3 linked regions of the Tamandua tetradactyla genome follow. The protein of the gene in region 1 binds, or shares a complex with, the protein of each later gene. Links are inferred from orthologs where the notes say so. Each region holds a gene or a part of one and is shown in the gene's direction. Other genes may lie near its edges.

Region 1 (7,333 bases):
ATTTCTCTTTGAGGGTTTGGGCAAGTGATTTCTCTTGGAGGAAAATAAAATATTTTGGGTCTCCTGATTTAAACTTTTGTATGTGTTTGTTTAATAATTCAAAATAAGGCCCCGAGCTAGGCCAGGCATATGTATAAAGTCTTCCAGCAGGGAACCTGAGTGAATACCACTGTAGCAGTATGTAATCCTTCAGCTAACATTTGTTTAGCACTTACTGTGCCAGGATTTGTGCTGGGTACCTGAATACAGAGTTTATAGCGCCCTCCAGGAACTCTTTCTGCTGAAGGAGATGGCATGTGAACAGGACTGCAGAACAATACAAGAGCTGCCACACATATGCCAAGGGCTGTAGAATTACTGTAGCGGAGGTGTTTTCAAAGATACAGGTACTATATCCAGTTGCCAATCTTGTGTTCTTGATGTTCCTGGATCCCTGTAGAAGCCCTTTTGGCTTCATGTGCATGGGGGTCATCAGGAAGCAAAGTGGACGTGGCCTCCCATGGTCTGGTTCTACTTCAGGCCTCTCAGGGCCACTCACAGGATCCTCTGCTGTGGTCCTGGGAACTTTAAGGTTAGTATAGTGCCTAGAAATGGCACTTCAACGTGTACTGCCTTCCTAGATGGGTCATTCAGTTGTTTCTTTTCACTGCTAGTGATCTCAGAGCCATATGAACTCTTTAGTCTCAGCCCAGTTAAAAGGTTCCGAATAAGGGTGGTGCAGCGGTGGCTCAGTGGCAGAATTCTTGCCTGCCATGCTGGAGACCTGGTTTCAATTCCTGGTGCCTGCCTGTACAAAAGAAAAAAAAAGGTTCAGAATAGGAAGATGTTAGAAAACTCTGGGCTCTAGGGGTGACATTCTTTAAGACCCCCATAGCTGCTTGCCCATCAGAAGCCTCAGCTGCTACTGTCAACAGCCCAGTGAGGCAGGTAGTCACATCCATTTTAACCACAGGAATCAGATTAGACTTGGAGGAGGTCACTTGCCCCAGACCCAGCTAATATGATATAGAGCCCCAACTCAAACTCCAGTCTGAAATAACTCGTATCTAAAGCACTAGACTAAGTCACAGACGATATTTTAAAGTTAGGAGGATGAATCTGAAAACCAGAAGGAACTAAAGCCAAAGCCTAGCAAAAGTTTTAACTAAAGTCTCAGGAATGAGTGGATAAAGATGACAGTGGGGCAGGTGGGGGACGGGTGGGGGGGGAGAAAACATTGGGAGTAGTCAGTGATTGAGGGTGTTGGTCACAAGATGGCACACCTCTTCTGCAAAGATGGCCTTGAGAAGGAGGACTTAAAATTGAGTCTCTTTGTTAGGTGGGAGCTGTTTTCTTAATCTTTAGTTGCTGCCTAGAGATGCAATTTGGGAACTATTGCTGGCATTAGGAGTTTAGAGCAAAAAATATGATGTGAAAGGGGTCCAAGGTCATGTGGGGAGATCCTCACCTTGCAGGCTTTCAGGCTTCTCTGCTGTTTTAATAGGGAGCTTCCATTTGGGATCCAAAATATTGAAGTGGCCTGAAGAATGTTAACCTCAGTTTCCTCAAAAGGTTTGAATCTTAACATCACCAGGAATAAAGTTAGCAGAAAATGTACAAGGTCTCGATAAAGAAATATTTAAGATACTATAAAGGACTCAGAAGGAGACTTGAATAAATGGGACGATATGCCAAGTTCTTCAGCAGAAGCAGTCAGCATCATAAAGCTGTCAGTCCTCCTAAGTGAGATAAAAAATGTAGTGTCACCCCAATGACACATTCTAGTAGGGTCTGAAAAGCAAAACTAAAGTTCCTGTGGGGTGGGGAGAGGGGAGTAGCTGGAAGTTGCTGGGACAAAAAAAAAGTGAGGGGGATGTTTAGTCCTACCAGATATTTAAACATAAAAGTATAATTAAAACAGTGTAATGTTGGTGCATGAGAGAATAGATAGGAGAATAAAACAGAATGGAAAATTTAGAAATAGGCTCAAATATATATGAAAATTTAGTATAGTAAACGTGGCATTCAGAACCAGTGAGAAAAAGATGGATTCTTCAGTAAATAGTATGGGTCACATTTTCACATCTTTTTTTAAGCTCATAATTATGAAAGAAATATGTATATGGAGCTTGGGGAAATAAAAATAGACTTTTATTAGTATTGGTAATAAACCTTCATTATAAAAAAAATAGTATGGGAATAACTCGATAACATCAAGGAAAAGTAAAATTGGATCTGTATACTTCACAAAACAAGCCAATATATATTTCAAAATGGATTAAAAGCTAAATGTTAAAAGGAAAAAACGAAACCATAAAAACATTACAAAGAAATGTGGGAGGATTCCTTTAAACCTCCAGGGTTAGGGAAGGCCTTTCTAACTTGGACCCCAAATCCAGAAGCCATAAATGTAGATAAGTAAATTCCACTACGTAAAACAAAAACACTTTTTTACTTTTTTGTTTTAAAACCAGTTTATGGTTTTAAACCAGTTTATGGTCAAAGTAAAACCAGTTTATGGTCAAAAGCACTGTCAACCAAGTCAATATTCTGTAGACTAAGAAAAAAGCTTCGCAACATCTCTAAAGGATAGCCTCCTAATACATGAAGAGTTCCTGGAAATTAATATGAAAAAGGCCAAAAACCCAATAGAAAAGCAGACAAAAGATAAATAATAGCTTTTAAACATAGGGAAAAGGCCTCAACCTCAATCATTATAGGAGAAATGCAAATCAAAAGATGCATTTTTCACTTAATTCACATGTTGGTTAACACACCATGTGGGAAAACAGGCATTTCTACTAGCACTTCACTGGTAGGAGTGTAAATTGATACTACCCTGATGCAGAACAATTTGGTAGCATGTATCGGATTTTTAAAATGCATATGTTCTTTGACCTGGCAAGTTTTATTTGCTCTGTGGCTTTGGGCAACTTATTATGCATTTTTGTCCTTTACCTTATCTGTAAAATGTGTAAAGTCTATAAAAGCTCTACCTCATGGAGTTACAGTGAGGGTTACCAGGAGATGATACACATAAAGTACTTAGTACTCAGAGCCTGGCTGAGTAGAAAGTACTAGAAAAAAAAAGTCATCTAGTAATATAATAATAGGAGCTAACATGCTTGCATCTCTTATACCAGGCAAATGCAGTGGTGCTTTTTTTCATGTTATCTCAATCATCAAACCTACCCTGTGAAGTAATTGCTAGGGTTATCACCACTGAGGAAACTGAGGCACAGAGGAATGTGAGTGGGCAATGCCCAGGCCTACTTTACACTGCTTCCTTTAGGTGCAGTGAGGTGATGAAGGGCTCCCCTTAAGGGAGGGCTGTGCCCAGAGCTGAAGGAGCACGGTGGACCAGCACGAAGCCTGGTTTGCACAGCCCTACCCAAGCAGCCATATGTGATTTTGAGCAAAGCTGTGGCTTTTGGTGAAGACCCTGCCACTTTCAATTCGGGTAACCTTGCAGCAGGTTTCTAATCTACTCTTAGCCAATTCTAGGCATTCTAGGAAGAGGATACCATGTTCCAAGGCTTCAGGTCCAAAAAGAGCTTGAGGAATCCAGGAATGGGGGATAGGGTGATGGCCGTCAGCCTTGAGGGCTCGCTAAGAAACCTGGACTATTTAGTAATAATAAAAATAAAATGTGAGTGCCACTATTTGTTGAGGGCCTGCTCTTACAATATTTTGCTAAATCCATCAAAACTACTCCAGTGAGGTCGATTTAATAAATCCAATCGTACGCAAAAGGGAACGTCAGGAACCACAGAAGGGAAGTGCCTCGATCAGTTCTGCGTTTTAGAAAGACCCCTCGAGCTGTGGGTTGGAAAAACAAGAGGTACACGAATGAAGTGCCTTGAATTCCACACATTAATAAAAGAATAACGTTTATCATTTTCTTTTACGTACTCTACAATTTATACTCACTGTAGAACGTGTGAAAAGTACAAAAAAATTTTAAGAAATATAAGCAATTATTCGTTCCCCCCCCAGGCCATCCTAATTGATATTTTTCTTTCAGTTTTTTAGTTTTCCTAAGCCAGCAGTATGTAGTCCCTCTTCCCTTCCTCTCTATCTTATTTTGGTCATTGCAAGAGATGAGGCTGGTTTTCCCCAGATGTCGGGCGACGTCTTAGTTCCTGGGCGAACCGCTCAGGATTCTGCGCTGGACGTTCCCGCGCCCACCTCGGTTTCTCACCCCGCCCTTACCGTTCCGCGCGGAGTCCCCGGCTCGGCTCAAGCCGCTCTCTAGGGGGCGCTGCCGCAAGGGGAGGGAGAGAAGGCGGTGCCAAACGCGTTTATATTTGGCCACTATCAACGCCCGTAGCCCGCGTCCCGAACATGGCGGCTCCTCAAGATGTCCACGTCCGGATCTGTAATCAAGAGATTGTCAAATACGACCTGGAGGTGAAGGCGCTTATCCAGGTACTAATTCCCGGGAACCCTGCTGGGCTCCAGCCACCCAAGCTCCGCGGGCCTCCTGGGGGTTTGGCGGTCTCAGCCCTGAACTGTTAACACTTGGTCTAATCTCCGAGGCCTTTGGCCCCGCCCCGTGGTCGTCTACCCTCTTGTGGTCCAGTCCCCGTGACAGTTGGCCTTAATCTTGCATCCGGGTACCGCTGATTCGCCCTCTTTCCTGCCACCCCTAAGACTCCTTCTTCTGACGCAGTCACTTCTGTGTACCCTGCCTCAACATCCCTTTTGAAACCCCCGTTTGGTCCCTTCCACGTCTTCCCTGATAGTTGCCCCGCCCCTGAACACCTCACAACACACCTGTCACTCTGTTATTCCCTCTAGCTGCTAGGCCCCGCCTCCCGGTGCCCGCCTCCATCCTCCACTTCTTAGGGTCCGGGAGGCTATTAGCGCCGCCCCCTGCCGGCCTGCCTTGCTGGGTCTGGTGCCCCGTGATCCCGAAGCGCACTTGACAAGGGACATGCCGGATGAAATGAGTGTAGCCTGGACCCAAGATGTGATTTTTTTAAAGGAGGAAATTGAGTAAAGCGCTAAGGCCTGAATCAGAAGGCAGATAGTGTCAAAACTGGGATCCGGACAGGGAAAATCATCCTATGGAAGGATCTTGAGAGTCTCCTCCCCTCTATTTAGTAAATGGGGAAATTGAGGGATTTTGCCTTAAGCCAGAATCAGGGTTCTTTTTTTTAAATTTTTTAAAAACTTTTTTATTGTGTAATATAACATATATACAAAACAAAGAAAGAAAAAAGCAGTCGTTTTCAAAGCACTCTTCAACAAGTAGTTACAGGACAGATTCCAGAGTTTTTCATGAGCTACCATACGATCCTCTCATATTTTTCCTTCTAGCTGCTCCAGAATATAGGAGGCTACAGGGCTTAAGTTTTTTTAATCATCACAATTGACTTTTTTTCCCTCTGTTTTTTTTTGGTGAAAAATAATGTATGTAAAAAAAGCTATAGATTTCAAAGCACAGCTCCACAATTAGTTGTAGAACATATTTCAGAGTTTGACATGGGTTGCAATTCCACAATTTTAGGTTTTTACTTATAGCTAGCTGCTCTAAAATACTGGAGACTAAAAGAGACATCAATTTAATGATTCAGCATTCATATTCATTTGTTAAATCCTATTGTCTCTGTAAAACTCCACCATCACCATTGATCTTTCCATCCCTTTCTTTAGGGGTGGGTAGGACATGACAATTCTAAATTTTTCATATTGGAAGAGTCTGTCACTAATATGGGGTAGGGAGATGGAACTATCTGATGTTCTGGAGAGGCTGGGCTAGGTTTCAGTACTTATCTGGACCCATCTGGAGGCTGTAGGTTTCTGGAAAGTTACCCTAGTGCATGGAACCTTTGTAGAATTTTATATATTGCCCTAGGTGTTCTTTAGGATTGGTTGAAATGGTTTTGGTTAGGGTATGGCAAGTTATGATAGGTAGCAATGTCTAACTGAAGCTTGCGTAAGAGTGACCTTCAGAGTAGCCTCTTGACTCTATTTAAACTCTCCCAGCCACTGATAATTTATTAATTGCACTTCTTTTCCCCCTTTTGGTCAGGATGGAATTGTTGATCTCATGGTGCCAGGGCTGGACTCATCCCTGGAAGTCATCTCCCATGTCACCAGGGAGACTTTCATCCCTGAATGCCATGTCCCACGTAGGGGGAGGGCAATGATTTCACTTGCAGAGTTGGGCTTAGAGAGAGTGAGGCCACATCTAAGCAACAAAAGAGGTCCTCCAGAAGTACCTCTTAGCCATGCCTATAAGTAGTTGAAGCTTTTCTTCTACCTACATAAGCTTCACAAGAGTAAGCCTCAGGATCAAGGGCATGACCTATTGATTTGGGTGTCCCTAAAGTTTGACACAGTATCAGGGGATTCCATGATGGTAATGTTTAATAGTTCTATAGAATCAGGGCTCTTAAACTCCCATTTAAAAAGGCAGTGGTGCAATAAATCAGTCAACATAGGCAAGAGTTGGGAATGTGGGAATGGTTCCATAAGTTTAGCAAAAAAACCAAGGGTTTTTTTGTTTTTGTTTGTTTATTTGTTTGTTTGCATGGGCAGTCACCAGGAACCAAAACCAAGGGTTTTAAGCCTTAATTTTAAGCAAACCATTTTCCTTTGCAACAAATGTCATCGAATATTAGATGTAAGCTCTGAATTTGCAACGAGCTGTGACAAAAGTAATGGAAAATAGAGCTTCCCCAGTAGACCAGATACAGAATAAACCAAATTAGTGGTTTAACACGCGGTGCAAGGAAATGTGGTTTAATGACTAAACTAAGGAAAAAAGTGAGGAAACCATGCAGACGCTTGAACTTCGTAAATGTTACTTCTCCCATGTGTAAACTGCAAACTTCTGAGCAATCTTAGAAAAATAAATTTAGGGTTCATACAAATGAAATTACCTTTTGACATCATTCAATTGCTCTGTTTTATACTCTCTTAACATTTGGGTTCCTGTGGTAGCTAATGAGAAAGATTGATTATAGTTAGATGTATTACACTATTACAGTGTTCCTGTCACTCTACTAACTGCTTCACATATGTACATAATCTCTGAGGTCCTTAATGTAATGAGGAAGCTGACAAGTTCAACTCCTGGACCATGCATCCAAAAAAAAAGGGAAGATATCTGTAAATACTTTGATTCCTCATAGATAGTTTATAAAATCAAACTGAAGGAAGTTAATCTTTTCATGTGATGCCAGAAATTTGAGCATCATGGTTTTCAAGTTGGAAAAGTCTAAAATTGTTTTTTTTTTATTGACAAGTCTTCACACACATACAGTCCATACATGGTATACAATCAGTGGCTCACAATATCATCACGTAGTTGTGTATTCATCACCATAGTCATTTTTAAAACATT
Region 2 (7,153 bases), on another chromosome or scaffold:
TCTTCTTGAGCATTCACTCTCTGCTAGGTTGAGGATGTATAGAAGTATGCATCCAGAAGCACTTTTCTTGGAAAATATTCACTTTTGCTAACTGTACATATTAATTTATTAGCAGGATAGATGGTGTATTACCATACTAAATAAAGCCAGATAATTTTTTTAAAACATACATCAGATCATATCACTTCCCTACTCGAACCTAATAATTTCCCATTACACTTAGAACAAAATCCAAACTCCTCCTGTTTCACAAATCCCTGCAAGACTCCCTAACTATCCCTCTGCCCCTATCTCCTCACTTCCACTCTTCTCCAGTGACACTGATCTTCTTTCTGTTCCTCAAATATATCAAGCTTCTTTCCACTTTACAATCTTTGTCCCAGCTCTCTCTGCTTGGGATTCTATTCCCTCTTGGCTTCTTGTAATTGAGAATTCAGTTTTAACGTCACCTGCTCAGAGAGGCCTTCTGTGGTTTTCCAACATAAAGGCTTGTACTAGAACCATAAATTTTGTAGCATGGATGAGATCATTTTAAGAAAAAGTATGGAGTAAGAAGAGGGCATTTGATAGAGCCTTGAAAGCTCTTAATGGAGTCATCATTTACCATCCACACAGCTAGTAACTCAGGTCTGTCTACTTTCAAAAGTTATTCTCTTTCAAAAATATTCTGTTGCTTCTCAAAGAAATGGTATCAAATAAAATTGAATTAATGTTAATATAAAGGTAAACCTTTGCAAAGGATGAATGGAGATGAAAAAGAAGCATAAGCTGTTCTGGAAAATGAAGAAGCAATATTTGGAATAGATTGGGAAGAATAATATTTTGACAGGGTAGGTAGCATGTTCAAAGGCAGTGAGGCATAAAAGTATGTGAAATTATTTAGTGCATTTCCAGTTGTACACAGGACAGTTGAGTATTGTTGTGTCTATTGTTTTTTATTTAGAGATAAGTGTGGTTTAATATGATGGGTATAGCTGCCAAGTTGACATGGGGTGGACTGTGATGGTCAGTGCATTTGTCAACTTGGCCAGGTAATGGCTCTCAGTAGTCTGGTCAAGCAAGCACTGACCTGTTACTGCAAGTATATTTTATGAACTTAAATCAGTAAGTTGATGGCATTTATGGCTGAATACACGTACAATCAACTAAAGGCAGTGTCTTCAGCAATGACAGACATTTAATCCAAACATTTGAAGGCTTTTAAAAGGAGAAGTGATGACTTCAGCAGTCAGAAGGGAGAATTTTTATCTCTACTTCAGTCAACCAGCCTCTACTGGGGAATTCAACAAAAACATTCATTAGAATTGCCAGCTTGCAGCCTGCCCTGCAGAATTTGGACTCATGCATCCTCACAATTGAGTGAGACACTTTTATAAAATTTTATAATGTTAACAGATATCTCCTGTTGGTTGTTTCCCTAGAGAACCCTGACTGATGCACTATCTTTGCAATTTTTCTGTAAATCTGAAATTATTCTAAAATAAAATGTATTTTAAAAAGTATGTAGTATTGAGTGTTAACTCCATGAAGGCAGGGGCATTTTCGTATTGTTCACTGTCATACCTCCAGCATCGAGAACAGGACCTTGCTCATAGTAGGCACTTAGCACATATTTGCTGAAGGAATGGATGAATGAATAAATGAATGCATGACACTATACAGGAAGAGGCTTGAATACAGGGTGTGTTGAAGAGAAAAGCAGAACATGAAGTCATACTCAATACAAAATTGAAGTGTATATGTAGATTCTTTGATCCTGAGACATATGTGTATAAATTGGTATTTTCCTGGAACTTTGAGTACTTCTGTGACACTTAAGATTCAGAGCTGTAGTTCTGCAGCTCTGAAATTCAGCATGGCTACATACAACTGTTTAACAACAGTTAAAGAAACCAAAAAAGAGATCAGGCATCCATTAAAGATGAGAATGAAGCTGATCTTGTTGGGACTAAGGTAAATCAGAATGCAGGGTAAACGATGATAGTGTTTGTACTCTAGAGCTTCACCTATTGTGTGAGACCAAAGGCAGAAATGTTTATTGGGTCTAGCACTTAAATTTTCTGTTACACACAATCTAATCAACCTGTCTGGATGGTTCATTTAGACAATCCAAACACATGGAGCCCAGAATGGGAACAAGGCCTTGTAATTCTGTATAGCTTAATGTAACACCTGGAGACATCCCAGAGAATGGTAGGTTGATAATTGAAAAGTATTGGTCGAGTCCCTTGAGAGACTGGACAAAAAAATATGGAAATATTAAATTTTCCCACCTGGGAACCCCCTGCTACTCTCTAGAACATTAGGCAGTCCCCCCCCCAGTATAGGCCAAGCCCTTGATTTTGAGACTTGTCTTTATAAAACTTATTTCTATAGTGAAGAAGCTAAGCCTACCCATAATTATGCCTAATAGTTACTTCCAGGAAATCTCTTTGGTTGCTCAAATGTGGCACCTCTCTCTCTCTCTCTCTCTCTCTCTCTCTCTGCCCAACTCTTCAAGGAAAATTATTACCTTCACCCCATAGGAGACATGACATTCAGGGGTGAAAGTCTCCCTGAAAACATGTGGCATGACTTCCAGGGTTGAGCCTGGCCCTGGTATGGAGGGATCGACAATGCCTTCTGGTCTAAAAGTGGGAAAAGAAATGTAGCAAAATAAGGTATCAGTGCCTAAAAGAGTTCAAATGGAGTTGAGAGGTATTCTGGAGACTACTCTTATGCAAGTTTCAGTTAGATATTGCTAATTACCAGGATTTGCAAAATTCCGACTAACATGATTCCTGCCAAACTTAAAGAACATCTAGGGCTCTATCTGAGATTCTACAAATGATCCATGCACTGGGTTTACTTTCCAGAAACTTACAACCTCCAGATGAGTTCCTAGGCCAGTTAAGTCTCGAGATGCAGAGGGGTCAGCTTTTACATCACATAATTCCATTTCCCTATCCCATATTGTCAAGACAGCCTTTCAACCTGAAAAAGTTAGAATGGGCAAAGCCCTAATATCCCTAAAGATTGTGAGAACAATCAAAGGAGAAGGAGTTATAGCAGAGAAGATAGAATTTAACAAACGAATATGACTGCTGAATCACTATAATGATATTTCTTTTAGCTTCCAGTGTTTTGGAGCTGCTAGAAGGAAAAAGCTGAAAATGTGGAACGGTAACCATACCAAATTCTGAAATCTGTTCTACAACTAATTGTTGTGGTGTTCTCTGAAATTTATTCCTTTTTAAATGTATATATGTTATATTTCACACTAAAAACCGTTTTTTTTAAAGCAAAAGCAAAACCAAAAACATTTTCTTTTTAAAGGGAGGCAATAATCCACAGTGTAAAAATCCTGCAGAGATGATGTAACATAATGGCTGAAAATGCCTATTGGTTTTAGCAACACTATTGAGAATTTTGGCTGGGAAGGAGAGGTGGGAGAAAGACCACTAGCTTAAGTCTGTGTGGTGAGGGCATTAGGGGAAGTTGGTTTGAGAAAGGTGACTGGAATTTTTTTAGATAAGAGAAATGCTGGCAATCTTTAAATGCTGATCATAAAGAGCGTGTAAGCAGGCAGCCGTTTAAGAGTCGGGAGACAGGGATTAAATGAGTTGGAAGGAGGAAATACGGATGTAAGGGGCGGTGTGTTTAAATCAAGAGTAGATTATTGTTGTTGCAAAAGAATGGGAGAAAGGAGAGGTGAAGGATACAAGGAGGTTGGGAAACAGTGGCGAAAGTAGAGGGAGTTCTTGTTAGATAAATGCTCTTCTGTCTGTGAAGTAGGCGACATTCTCCGCTGAAAGTAAACGAGGCTCCGGCGGGGCGAGCCAGCCTCTCATTTATCGCGCCAACGCCATTTGATAGACTCCTTCTGTCCTCCTGCAGCCGCTCATTTTCCCCTCTTGGCTCGGCGCTTGGTAAGCAGTTACGACAGAACTGTTGACCGAACGCCTGACAGACTCAGAGAGACGGAAGACGGAACTAACACTCCCAGAATGCAGTCCGGTTCTTGGGAAATGCAGGGGCAGGGAAAGCAGCAGGCCCTGCCCCGCTGACGACTCCCATTGGAAGAGAGCTCACATTCCCAGGAGGCTGCGCGCGGGCGGGGCGCTTCACACGGAAGTCGGCGGCATTGGGGTCTAGCCTCCCTCGGGAGCTCAAAGTTGGCTACCCCACGTCCAGAACCCGCGCTCTTGCAGAGGGCGCTGGACAGGTACGTAAAGGGTGCGCTCAGTAACAAAGTGGGGGACTAGACAGCAGAGGGGAAGGCGGGGGTGGCCAGGAAGGTACCGAAGTAGAGTGAGGAGGCAATGGGAGGGTGACTCGGAATTCTCTGAGGTCCACATTTCGAATTGTCGGGCAGATCCAGTTTGGATGAAGTGCGTTTTATGCCTGTGATAAATCCTCAGGTTAAAGAAAGCCATAATGTGTCACTTCATTTGTTGTTAACAGGAAGGAAAATGTTGACTTTGTCAGTTAGCATTCCCAGGACATCACCTTAGCATTTGAATCTCTTAATCACCTGAGTCTTTTAAAATCGCCTCTATGCCCTTGCTTCGGTGACGTCACTCTTCTGCTTCACCTTCTACTTCGGAAGTCTACTGCTCAGTAGTGGGTTCTAACCCTCTTCACGCCCCTCCTCCACCACCAAATGTTGACATTCATCTTCCTCTTCAGTTCAAATACGAACTCTGTATCTCTTGCCCAAATCGGCTTCCTGAGCGTCAGATGTGTTTGTTATTATTACTATTATTATTTTTAATGGTCAATATTTATCAAATTCTATATTCTAGACTCCTTGGTAAGTGGTTTACATATCCCTCTCTCAGAACCCCTATAAACAATTATCAAGACCTTTTCTTTCCGTCTTATTAATTGCTCTGAACTACCTGTACTTCCATTTTCCCACCCTTAATCCCAGAAGATGCTGTCATGTTTGGGGCATTCTTTCTCATTTGAATACATTTGGCTTGGAGCAGATTCATTCATTCGTTTAATAAATGTTTATTGAACAGCGCATATACACCACAGAGTTTTCTAAGTGCTAGGGATATATTTGTAAATAAGACAAAAGAGGTCAGTGCTCTCCAGAGCTTCCGTATTTTGGGGACAGGGGCGTGGGGGGGGTACAAAAAGGAATAAACAAGATGATATGGTGGTTAATGCAAAATAAAACAGACGGTTTATTTTACAGAGTGGGATCCTGTCCTAACAGAGGGATTAGCTTGAGTCTTAGAGCATCACCCTAGAAGAATATTTGTGATACACACAGTACCTGATCTGTGATCAGGCTTCAGACTTTTCATAAATGTCCTTTCTTTTCTTTTGTCTATCATATTATAGCAATATTTGTTTTTCATTCTTCTGTCTCCTCCAAGGTTGTTATTTCAGAATTGGTGGTTTATTTCTCATTGGTTTATTTCCTCCTAAGACCCAGAAAGAAGAGTTAGGGTTTGATTACTATCAGCTCAACTTCTTTATTTTAGAGAGATAGTTTGGTAATCAAAATATTCTTCTTTCCAGGGCCTAGTGACTATAAATCTATCATTTACAAGTATATTTAACCACAGGCTCAGTATTCACTCATTTATTCAATATATATTTGAGAGAATATTTATACTGTGCACTGTACTGAGCACTGAGAACATTGTGAGGGTAAAGTAGACATTTTAACCTCTCTTCCAAGGAAAAGTAATCATAATAATATACTGAGGGAATGCCTAATGAATAGGCTGATATCTGCATTCCTTTTTCTTCATCCAAGGTGAGATAATCACAAAACTTTCATTGTGTACATTCTTAGATTATTCACTTATTTCAATTTATTGCATTTATTTATATCTGTCTTCCCCATCCCATTGTACTGTGGAACTTGTGAGTATAGGGGTCTTTTCTTACTTATCTGTATATCTCCAGTGTCTTCTACATTGGCTGCCATAGAGTAAAATCTTCAGTACGTATGTGTTGAACTGAAATAGACTCCATTTGATTAAATCCAAATTACTTAATTTATACAAAGCCTCTGTCAGCCTTATCCACTAACCTTCACATTCACTGAATGTGGACCATTCTATCTCATCAAGCAGTTTCTTCACCTTTTCTAGCTTGTTCTCACCTCGGTGCTTTCTCTTGTTCCATAGCTTCCTCCTAAAATTAGTTCCTTCTCTTTCCTGGGTACCCTTTCTCAACTCCACCCCCCACCCCCCGTTACGTTGATGGGCCAATTAATATAATTATATACCCCATAATATAAGAATGAAAAAAAACTTCCCATTGTGTATTTCCTATGAAACATTCTGCTAATGAATTGTTGCAAGAATTCACATAATAAATCCGTTTGCAATAATATAAATGATGATGCAGAATACTTTCTTTTGATTTTTGTGTTGAATGTATTACCATGTATTATAAATTAATTATTCCACTTCATTTCTGTATTTGAACTGTTGCACAACCTTTGTTCGTGAAGCACATTATGGCATCATTTGATTTCCACTTGGTATAAGCATTTCTTTGAGTATTATTTTCTCCTTAGCCTAAGATAATTTATATATTAATGTGATTATACCACACTGTCATTTTCAGAGTATCAGGTAAAAGTCTCAATTCTTAAAATAATCTTATTCCACGCAGCTATTTTTCAATTGTCAATCAGTACTGCAAAAAATAAATTTTGTCTGTAACTGATTTTGAAAAACATAGTAGGAATGCATGAGTGCTTGAATTGTAATTGTTATTATGGTTTTAGGATGCCAACCTAAGAGCAGCTAGACTTGCTTCCAAGACATTAAAAATTAAGCACCATCACTTTAAAGGGTTTCTTGGCACCTATACCTTCACAGACATGAATGCATAGGCGGCACTGACTTGTGTGCCATTACTCATTTATGAGATATGTATATAGATGGTCCAGAATATACTTATACATCTTTAATACTAACAAAATAACAATACATAATTGAAAAATTCCTCAGAACACATGGACTCCAGTGTGAAAAATGTTGGCTTGGTCTTTTCCCTTACTCTGTTCTCTGATGCTGTCTTCAACTTTTGCTTGAATGCCTCCACTGAGGAGAAGTGTGCATCACTACTGTGCTTTTTTGTTACTGTCTCTTAAATACAGGAAACTCCTTACTTATAAATGAATATATTCCAGAAGTTC
Region 3 (7,585 bases), on another chromosome or scaffold:
CATCACCTGGCAGCCGCCCAGCCCTGCCCCTCCCAGCACGCAGCTGCCGTTAGTGAGATGAGGGGCCGAGAGCAGGTGGCTGTGATCCCCAGGGACACGCGGATGCACCTCTCGGCCAGACACTAACTACTCTGCTGCCCAAAGGATCTGCATTGCCCTTCATGTGGATTTTTAATCTTTTATGAAAACATCTATGTTCCTGATTTTTCTCATTTTTTTAAAGTAATGTCTTAGTTGATTTCAAACAGTCATTTAAATGCTTTATTTATAAATAGAAAACAGGAAGAAGGCAGTTCCTGAGATGTTTCAGACCGAGGAAGAGCTTTTCCACTCGCCCCTTGGCCAGGGGTGCCTCAGAGCTATGGGCTTTGTTGACAGACAGCAAAACTCCCTTTCCTCCCAGTACCTCCAGTCACTTCTCTGGCCACAAACCAGCAGCCGTAGCAGCAAGGACAAAGGGCACCTGTTCCAGTGCCATGTGCCATGCAGGGGGTGGGATGAGGATGTGCCCATCCTCATCTGCAGCAGGGACTCGACCTGTCAGGCCTGCCCAGAGATTCCTGTGGTTCCAGGGATACTGGGGAGAGGTGGGAGACGGCAGCCAAGGACACTGATGTTTGTAAGTAGGAGCCATGGATGGGTTAGCTGCCTGTACACAGCGAATCTACAAGTCTGAGGAACTCAAGCAGGGACTGGGGCCTTCCCAGGAGCTCCCAAGGTATCGCCCCAAAGGTCTAAAGCACAAGTACGAGTACTCGTGAGACTCTGAAAACAGGCTGTTTTGCCATCTGCATCCTTGCAGTCATCAGAACAGAAGGCTTCAAGAGGAAGGGTGTGCAAGCTTTGCGGGGAGGACCACGACGGAGCCGCGGCACAGAAAGGCCAGGGTCCCGCGGTCGCCTACCCACCTGGTCCAGGCGCTTCTCCAGGAAGCCCAGGAGCACACGAACCACATCCATGTTCACTCCCATGAACTCGAGGGAGCCCTCGTGCAGCCCCGGGGGGAGCAGGACGTCCAGACACTTGAGAGGCAGATTCCCCAGGAGATTGACTGTGTGGCTGCAGACCGGGGTGCAGGTGAGGGTGGGCAGGTGCCTGCCCTGCTGGGCCACATGCGATGTGAGCCAGTGTCAGGGGGCCAGAGGGCAGCACCAGCCAGGTCCCCTGTTCCTGCTAAGCAGGAGAAGCCCTGCCTGTCCCACCCCTCTGTCTGGGCTGGCTGCCTCACGCCATGGACATTCTCTGGGAAGTAGGTCATGGAGAATGGCGGCAAGTGACAATCTTGATCTGCTGACACCAAGGTCCAGGCTGGCATGCCCTTCTGCCAGACTGACAGCTTTTGGTCTTGGGTGTTATGAATAACTTTGCTAGTCCCATCAGAGGAGCGAACTCAGACTCCAAGAAGGGAAATGGGGCTCCCAGGTGGTTCTTATTTATACCCAAGACTGAGAAGCACCCCAATCCCACAACAGGCCCCCTCCCAGCCAGACATGGCCAAGTACAGAGCTCCCCCCACCCCACACACAGCTCCCAGCCCAGAGCCTTGCCCTCACCCCTGGAACTCCTCAGTCCGGTCTCCAGCAGCAGCCACCATCACACAGCGCCGCAGAAGGGTGCCCAGGTGTCGGTAAAGGGCAGTGTCCTGACCAGAGAGAAGAGCAGATCCCTGAAGGCGGCTGCTGCCAGCTGAAGGCATGCTCTACCACCCTGCCCCTCCTCCAACACAAGGCTGCAGGTCCAGAGAACCAGTGGCTCTGACTGCCACACAGCTGCCTTTGTACTCTCCTAAACGACCCTGCTGGGTGGTGAGGCTGACCGACCAGTGCCATTTTCCTGAAGACTCTGTGGCTGCAGATGTCCACACCCACGGTTCTGCAGTGGCTGTTTCCTTCAGCCTGCCATCACACCACACACCCTGTGGCACCTGGACCTCCAGACCCAGGAACAGCTATCTCCCTCAGATGCCTCTCTCCTGGGAGGGAGCCCCTCCTTGGCCTCCCCTAACCTCTCTATGCCTGACGCCAGATCCGTTTAGGTTCCTGGCATGTCGCGGGGCCTAGGATTCGGGCCTCACCTGGTCTGCCTCCCTCTTGGTGGTGTCAAAGGTGATGTTGAAAAGCACCTTGAGGACCTCCATGGCCCGCTCAGTCTCCTGGTGCGGGAGGCACTCAGGGGCGCAGTCTTCGGGGTCTGCCCCGAGGGTCAGCTCCAGCGTGTCAGTCAGCAGGCGCACCCCCTGTAGCTCCTCAAACAGCTGCTGGCGCACGTCGGTGCGCAGAGCCGTGAGCAGGAAGAGGAGCCGCAGGTCAAAGAACTGGACATCATGTGGGACGCTCCTCTCCCGGGAGAGCCGCACGCGCTCGGCGAGCCTCACCACCACGCCGGCCTCGGCTGCCAGCTGCTGCGCCAAGGGGCTGCTGAGCACAAGGTTGCACAGGCACTTGAGGGACTCCAGCACGACGTCCATATCCGCACCCGGGGCCTTGAGGGCGGAGCCCTCGGGGGCTGAGATGCCGGCATGGCGGGCCAGGGCCTGCAGGCTCTGGCGGCTGGTGAACCGGTCCAGGCAGCTGCGGTCCCGGGACAAGATGCGGACACTCTGCAGCCAGGTGACGCGGTGGGAGGGCGGCAAGCCCTGCTCCAGGGCCGAGACGAGCAGCTCCGCCAGTTTCTGTGAGCAGATGAAAGGGCGGCTGCCCGGAGCCCCAACACCCTCCCCACGGCGCCTCCTAGGACCCCCGGCCCCTGCCCTTTACCGCTGCCACCCACCTTCCTGTCGTCCAGCTGAGCCTCGTCGAACGTGAAGCTCTGGGAGTTCTGCAAAGACACCGGGAGGGTTCTCGGAGCGCAGACCCCGGACAGGGCGGGGCCGCGCACTGGGGGGGCTGCCTGACCCAGGCGGGGCCTGCACGCGCCCCGCCGCGCACCTGTCCCCGCCGCGTGCACCCCGGGCACCGTCCCGCGCCCCTCGCCGCCCCATGCACGTCCCACGTCCGCCGCCTGCGCTCACCTCCCGGTTGTAGGTCCGCAGAGCCTGCACGATCACGTCCTCCTCCCCCGTCTCCACGGCGTCGGCAACCGCCCGGGGCTCCATGGCGCCCCCAGGACGCCCGAAGGCTCCGGCCGCGAGCCAGGGGGGACGTCGCGCCGCGGCGGGGCCCAAGTCCAGCCCGAGTCCAGCCCGCGCGCGGCCCCGCCCTGCCTCGGGCAGCCCGCGTCCGGCGCGCGGGGGAGGCCGGGACGGGGCGGGGCGGGGCCGGCACGCGCGGGGGGCGGGGCGAGGCCGCGCGCCGCTTAAGGTGCGCGGTTTAAGGTGGACCCGGAACGGCGCTGGCGTTGAAGCCCCGACTCCGGGACCCGCCGGCTTGGGGCCCAAGTCACCCCTTGGCCAAACCGTGACCCCTCCCTCGTGCGCTTCTTGGGCCGGAATTTCAAAAGGAGAACTCTCCCGATCCCCCCATCTTTATCCACAGAATGAGTGGGATGGAGGAGGAAAGCGCCAGCGGAGAGGGCTTTGCGGTCTCAGAGCCTTTGGTTTACTAAACCGGCGTCGTGGAGCGCCTGCTGCAGGCGAGGCGCTGGGGACGCGGGTCAGGAAGACCCTGCCGTCCTGGAGCTGGTTCCAGAGGGGAAGACGGACAAGGAAAGACAGACAAGACGACTCTGCGTGGTCCTAAGCGTTGTGGTTTTAAAAACAACAGGCTGCTGTTGTCCCCAATTGCGGGGGGTCGGCAGAAGGCTCTAGGGAAGTGCTACTTCTGATGAGACCTGATGCTCACGATAGGGGACCGTGAAAAGACTTGGGGGAGGCCACTCCAGGCAGAAGGAACGGCTCGGTTGGCAGAGGTCGGGGGTGAACGCAGGGCCGGAGTAAGTGCAGCGACTTCCGAGCTGTGAAACCCTGAAACGCGCTCTAGCTCAGAGTTCGTGTCCTCTTCTGTAAAGCAGAGGGGAAAGTGTCCACTTCAAGGGGTTGCACTGAGGATTACAGGCACTCGTAACTGACACACAGAAGATACCTCGTAGCGGTGAGTAATTCATAAATACAAACTACTCACCCACCTCTCTGTTCTTTTATCACACATCTGTCATGCCAGGCCCTTGGTACCAGGATTCAAAAGCAGGAAACACTGGTTCCTACTGTCTCCGCTGCCCCTTCCCCAAACCCTTTTCCTTGGTTCACTGTTACTTATCTGCATTTTATTTTTAAAGCACTTATTCAGGTTTACTTGTTCCAGGCAATGGTCTAAGTTCAAACGAGGAAACCGCCTTACAGACTCGGGAACTAAAATGCACGAAGGTTAAATTCCCCAGGTCACTCGAGGCCGAGTGGGGCGGCGAACTCGTGCGCCAACACCGCGCCCCGGCAAAGGCGCTGGCGCTCCTCCCACTTCTTAGGACCTAACCTCGCCTGAATAACCGAGAGAAAAGACATTTCGACGTTAAAGCGAATGGCGCAAGGGCTCCCAAGTGCGGGGTCCAGGTCGTCCCGGGTCCACTGACAATGAAACAAACGTCGGACTCCTCAGTCCCTCCGCGCCCGCGGCGGCAGAAGGGGCGGGGCCGGAAGTCCCTCCCCGTGACCCTGCGACGCCGTGACCCCGCGACCCCGCGCCACGTCCTCGGCGGCGCTGGACGCGATGGCGGACTGGGCTCGGGGTGAGCGCGGGGTGGGCCGGGGGTCCGGGGGACGGGACGGGCCGGGGTTGGATCCGACCCCGGGCGCCCGTCGGCGGGAGGGGACAGCCCCCAGTCAGCGCCCCGCCGAGGATACGTGGCTGCGTCCCCCCTCGCCGCCGGAGGCCTGGGAGGGTCCGGCCGGGTGCCGCTCCCGCTCTCCTGGGCTGTCGTGACGACTGAAGGAGGGAACGGACGCGAAGGCGTTGGCGGGGTGCGTGGCACAATGCCTGGCACAACGGGGCGCCTTTCCGCAGCCGCCCCTTCCTTCCGGGTCTGTACGAGTCAGAGATTCCTAAGGCCTCGGACTCTCAGGGTATCGGCCCCGTGGAGGGCGAGTCTCACCCACCGAATGTGATACATTCACGCCACTGGTCCAGTTCGGGTGTGCAGCGGGGAATGGGGTTGGCCGGAGTTACCGGGCGGGTCTCGCACCGTGCCCTCGTTGTTCTGGGAGGTGCTGTGGGGACATAGGTGAGCAAACCTAGGCCCTGCCCTCGGGGCTGGACCCTGCCCACATTTTGGTTAGGGAACTTTGCTCGCTTCCTTTTCTCCGTATAGAAGGGCCTCCCCGATGTCCTGCCCTTGGTTATCGGTTACTTTTTCAGGACCAGGTCACAGGTTACGCCCACACAGCCCTCGCGGCTGTCCTCCTTGAGCTAGTGCTCTTCCCTGGGCCCTCCCCAGGACAGGCGGGAGGTACATGCATGGTAACCTTGCTGCAGGCAGGTACTGCGTCTCACTGCCTCCCTGGGATTAGTCCTGTCTGGCTTGGCGTGCCGGATGGGCTGAACCTGTTGGGGTACACCCCAGAGGGCAAGCCACACATCCTGCATGTGTACAGGGGACATGCTCCCACGTGGTTGTTTACTGTTGCACAAACACAAGGGCCACAAACCTGTCCCTGCCCAGCGGGTTACAGGTGGAGACCCAGCCCCCACCCCTGCCCAGACTTCAGACTGAGGCAGATGGGGTTGAGGCCACAAAGGGCCAACTTTCTGTGGTCTGAGGGTCAGGGATTGTGCTCATGGGTGGATGCACAACTTCAGCCTGTCTCTACAGCTCAGAGCCCCGGTGTCGTGGAGGAGATTCTGGACCGGGACAACAAGCGGATGGCCGACAACCTGGCCTCCAAGGTCACCAGGCTCAAATCGGTCTGTGGCGGTCTCCTTTCTCTTGGGAGCAGGACCCCCAGGAGGGTGCAGCTTGGGGGGCTCCAGGCTGCTTTCCATTCTCCTTGCTGGCTACTTGAGGCCTGGGGGGCATTTTCTGACCTTCGTGTTTGGTGAGGGTGGCGTTTGTTCTGGCTGGTCCTGGGGGAGGAAGGGTGCTGCCCCATGTCTGGCCTGGCCTGAACCTGCCCTCTCTGTGCCCTGGCCAGCTTGCCCTGGACATTGATAGGGATGCAGAAGACCAGAACCGGTACCTGGATGGCATGGTAAGAGCCTTTGAAGCTCTAGGGTGCCCTGCTGAGCTTGGGCCCACACCATCTGGGGTCGGGCACTGTTCTTGGGCACCAGCAGAGGTGGGTGTGGAGGTGCCAGCGCGTGTAACAGTACTGGGATTCCTCCCTCAGGACTCAGATTTCATGAGCATGACGGGTCTGCTCACTGGGAGTGTGAAGCGCTTCTCCACAATGGCACGGTCTGGGCGAGACAACCGGAAGCTTCTGTGCAGTGTGGCTGTGGCCCTGATTGTGGCCTTCTTCATCCTCTCCTACCTGTTGTCCAGGGCGCGGACGTGAGCGAGCGGGGGTGGGCGAGCTGCCACTGCGGGTGCTGGGGCCAGCCAGGGCCACCCTGTGCCCCACCTGGGCTCCTGGGCTCCGGAGCACTTCCCTACAACATTCCTTTGAATTTACGATTGTGGGTCAGAGGTCTTCTTCCTGTTCTGGACATGAGCATCTGTTGGCTGGTCCCATCCACGGAAGGGACACTTTCCCTGGGGAAAGGAGGCCCAGCGTCCTCCAGTCCCTGGTTGGAGCCTGAAGACACATAGCACTGTGCTGGCAGCCCCTCTCCCAGCCCTCAGGCGTCTCAAGGTTCCTCTACCGTTTCCTCTGAGCAAGGCCATGTGTGTGATTTGTGCAGCATGAGGCTGGCATGAAAAGTGACTCTACCTTCAAACCTGAAACAGCGCTATCTCTTTGGCCCACCCTCTCCAACAGCAGCTGCTCTTGGCCAAGGCTGCCTGGGCAAGGTCACACCAATGCAGGCCAGCTCCTCCCCCAGTACCCTCTGTGCTCACGCTCATTTCCCTCCTTGGGGTAGACAGAGGGCAGCTGGAGCCAAACCCTGGGGCCTGTGGATACAGAGGCTCTGAGCCCTAAGCGCTTCTGGGCTTGTTCAGAGCAGGAATTCACACTCAGGGTGTGCATTTACCCAGCCTTGCAGATGGGTTCCACGAGACCAGACCTCCAGGAGTGGCTGAGTATGGGTGAGGCCTTCCACCTGCTTTTCACAGGACACTGCTGCCTCTGTCACCTGTAGGGGTTGCCAGCCATGTGTGGTTAACTTATTCTTCCACCAAACCCTGCCCTTCCTCCCACTGTGAGGGACCCTTCCTCCTGAGTGCATGTATCTCTGAGCCACCGCCCTCCCTGGGCCCTCATTTCCCACTGCGTACTCTCTCCACCATCACACCAACCCTGGACAGGTCAGACCCAATGCCTTTAAGACCAAGCCATTGAGCTTGGGACCCTCCCCTGTCCTATCTGATTCATCTTCTGCCTTCCTGGCCACTCTGTGAGGCCCTGACTCACAGTTCACCCACTTGCAAGGCCTCTTTCTGAGTTTGTCCAGCTTAGAAGGCTTTGTCTCTGAAACCTAAACCGGCTGTCTGCCATAGCCTGCTGCAGTCAGCTCCCACAGCCTCGATGCAGCCTTCAGCCCTGCGAACTCACTTCCCA

The links.
Region 2: BNIP1 (region 1) and VAMP7 share a complex: the UniProt entries of both Homo sapiens proteins name them as parts of the SNARE complex. The link is inferred for Tamandua tetradactyla from reciprocal best matches to the Homo sapiens genes BNIP1 and VAMP7.
Region 3: BNIP1 (region 1) and BET1L share a complex: the UniProt entries of both Homo sapiens proteins name them as parts of the SNARE complex. The link is inferred for Tamandua tetradactyla from reciprocal best matches to the Homo sapiens genes BNIP1 and BET1L.

The regions. Positions count from the first base shown.
Region 1 is NC_135346.1:54,590,180-54,597,512, forward strand, and holds the start of BNIP1 (vesicle transport protein SEC20), read left to right. Parts: upstream 1-4,278; 5' UTR 4,279-4,323; coding exon 4,324-4,407; exon of another isoform or gene 4,408-4,749; intron 4,750-7,333. UniProt on the Homo sapiens protein: As part of a SNARE complex may be involved in endoplasmic reticulum membranes fusion and be required for the maintenance of endoplasmic reticulum organization. Also plays a role in apoptosis.
Region 2 is NC_135353.1:67,940-75,092, reverse strand, and holds the start of VAMP7 (vesicle-associated membrane protein 7), read left to right. Parts: upstream 1-4,066; 5' UTR 4,067-4,204; intron 4,205-7,153. UniProt on the Homo sapiens protein: Involved in the targeting and/or fusion of transport vesicles to their target membrane during transport of proteins from the early endosome to the lysosome. Required for heterotypic fusion of late endosomes with lysosomes and homotypic lysosomal fusion.
Region 3 is NC_135335.1:33,442-41,026, reverse strand, and holds the start of BET1L (BET1-like protein), read left to right. Parts: upstream 1-4,529; 5' UTR 4,530-4,640; coding exon 4,641-4,659; intron 4,660-5,739; coding exon 5,740-5,831; intron 5,832-6,058; coding exon 6,059-6,115; intron 6,116-6,253; coding exon 6,254-6,421; 3' UTR 6,422-7,585. Other genes in the region: RIC8A (chaperone Ric-8A), read right to left, coding at 909-1,059, 1,554-1,642, 2,075-2,671, 2,770-2,817, 3,011-3,094. UniProt on the Homo sapiens protein: Vesicle SNARE required for targeting and fusion of retrograde transport vesicles with the Golgi complex. Required for the integrity of the Golgi complex.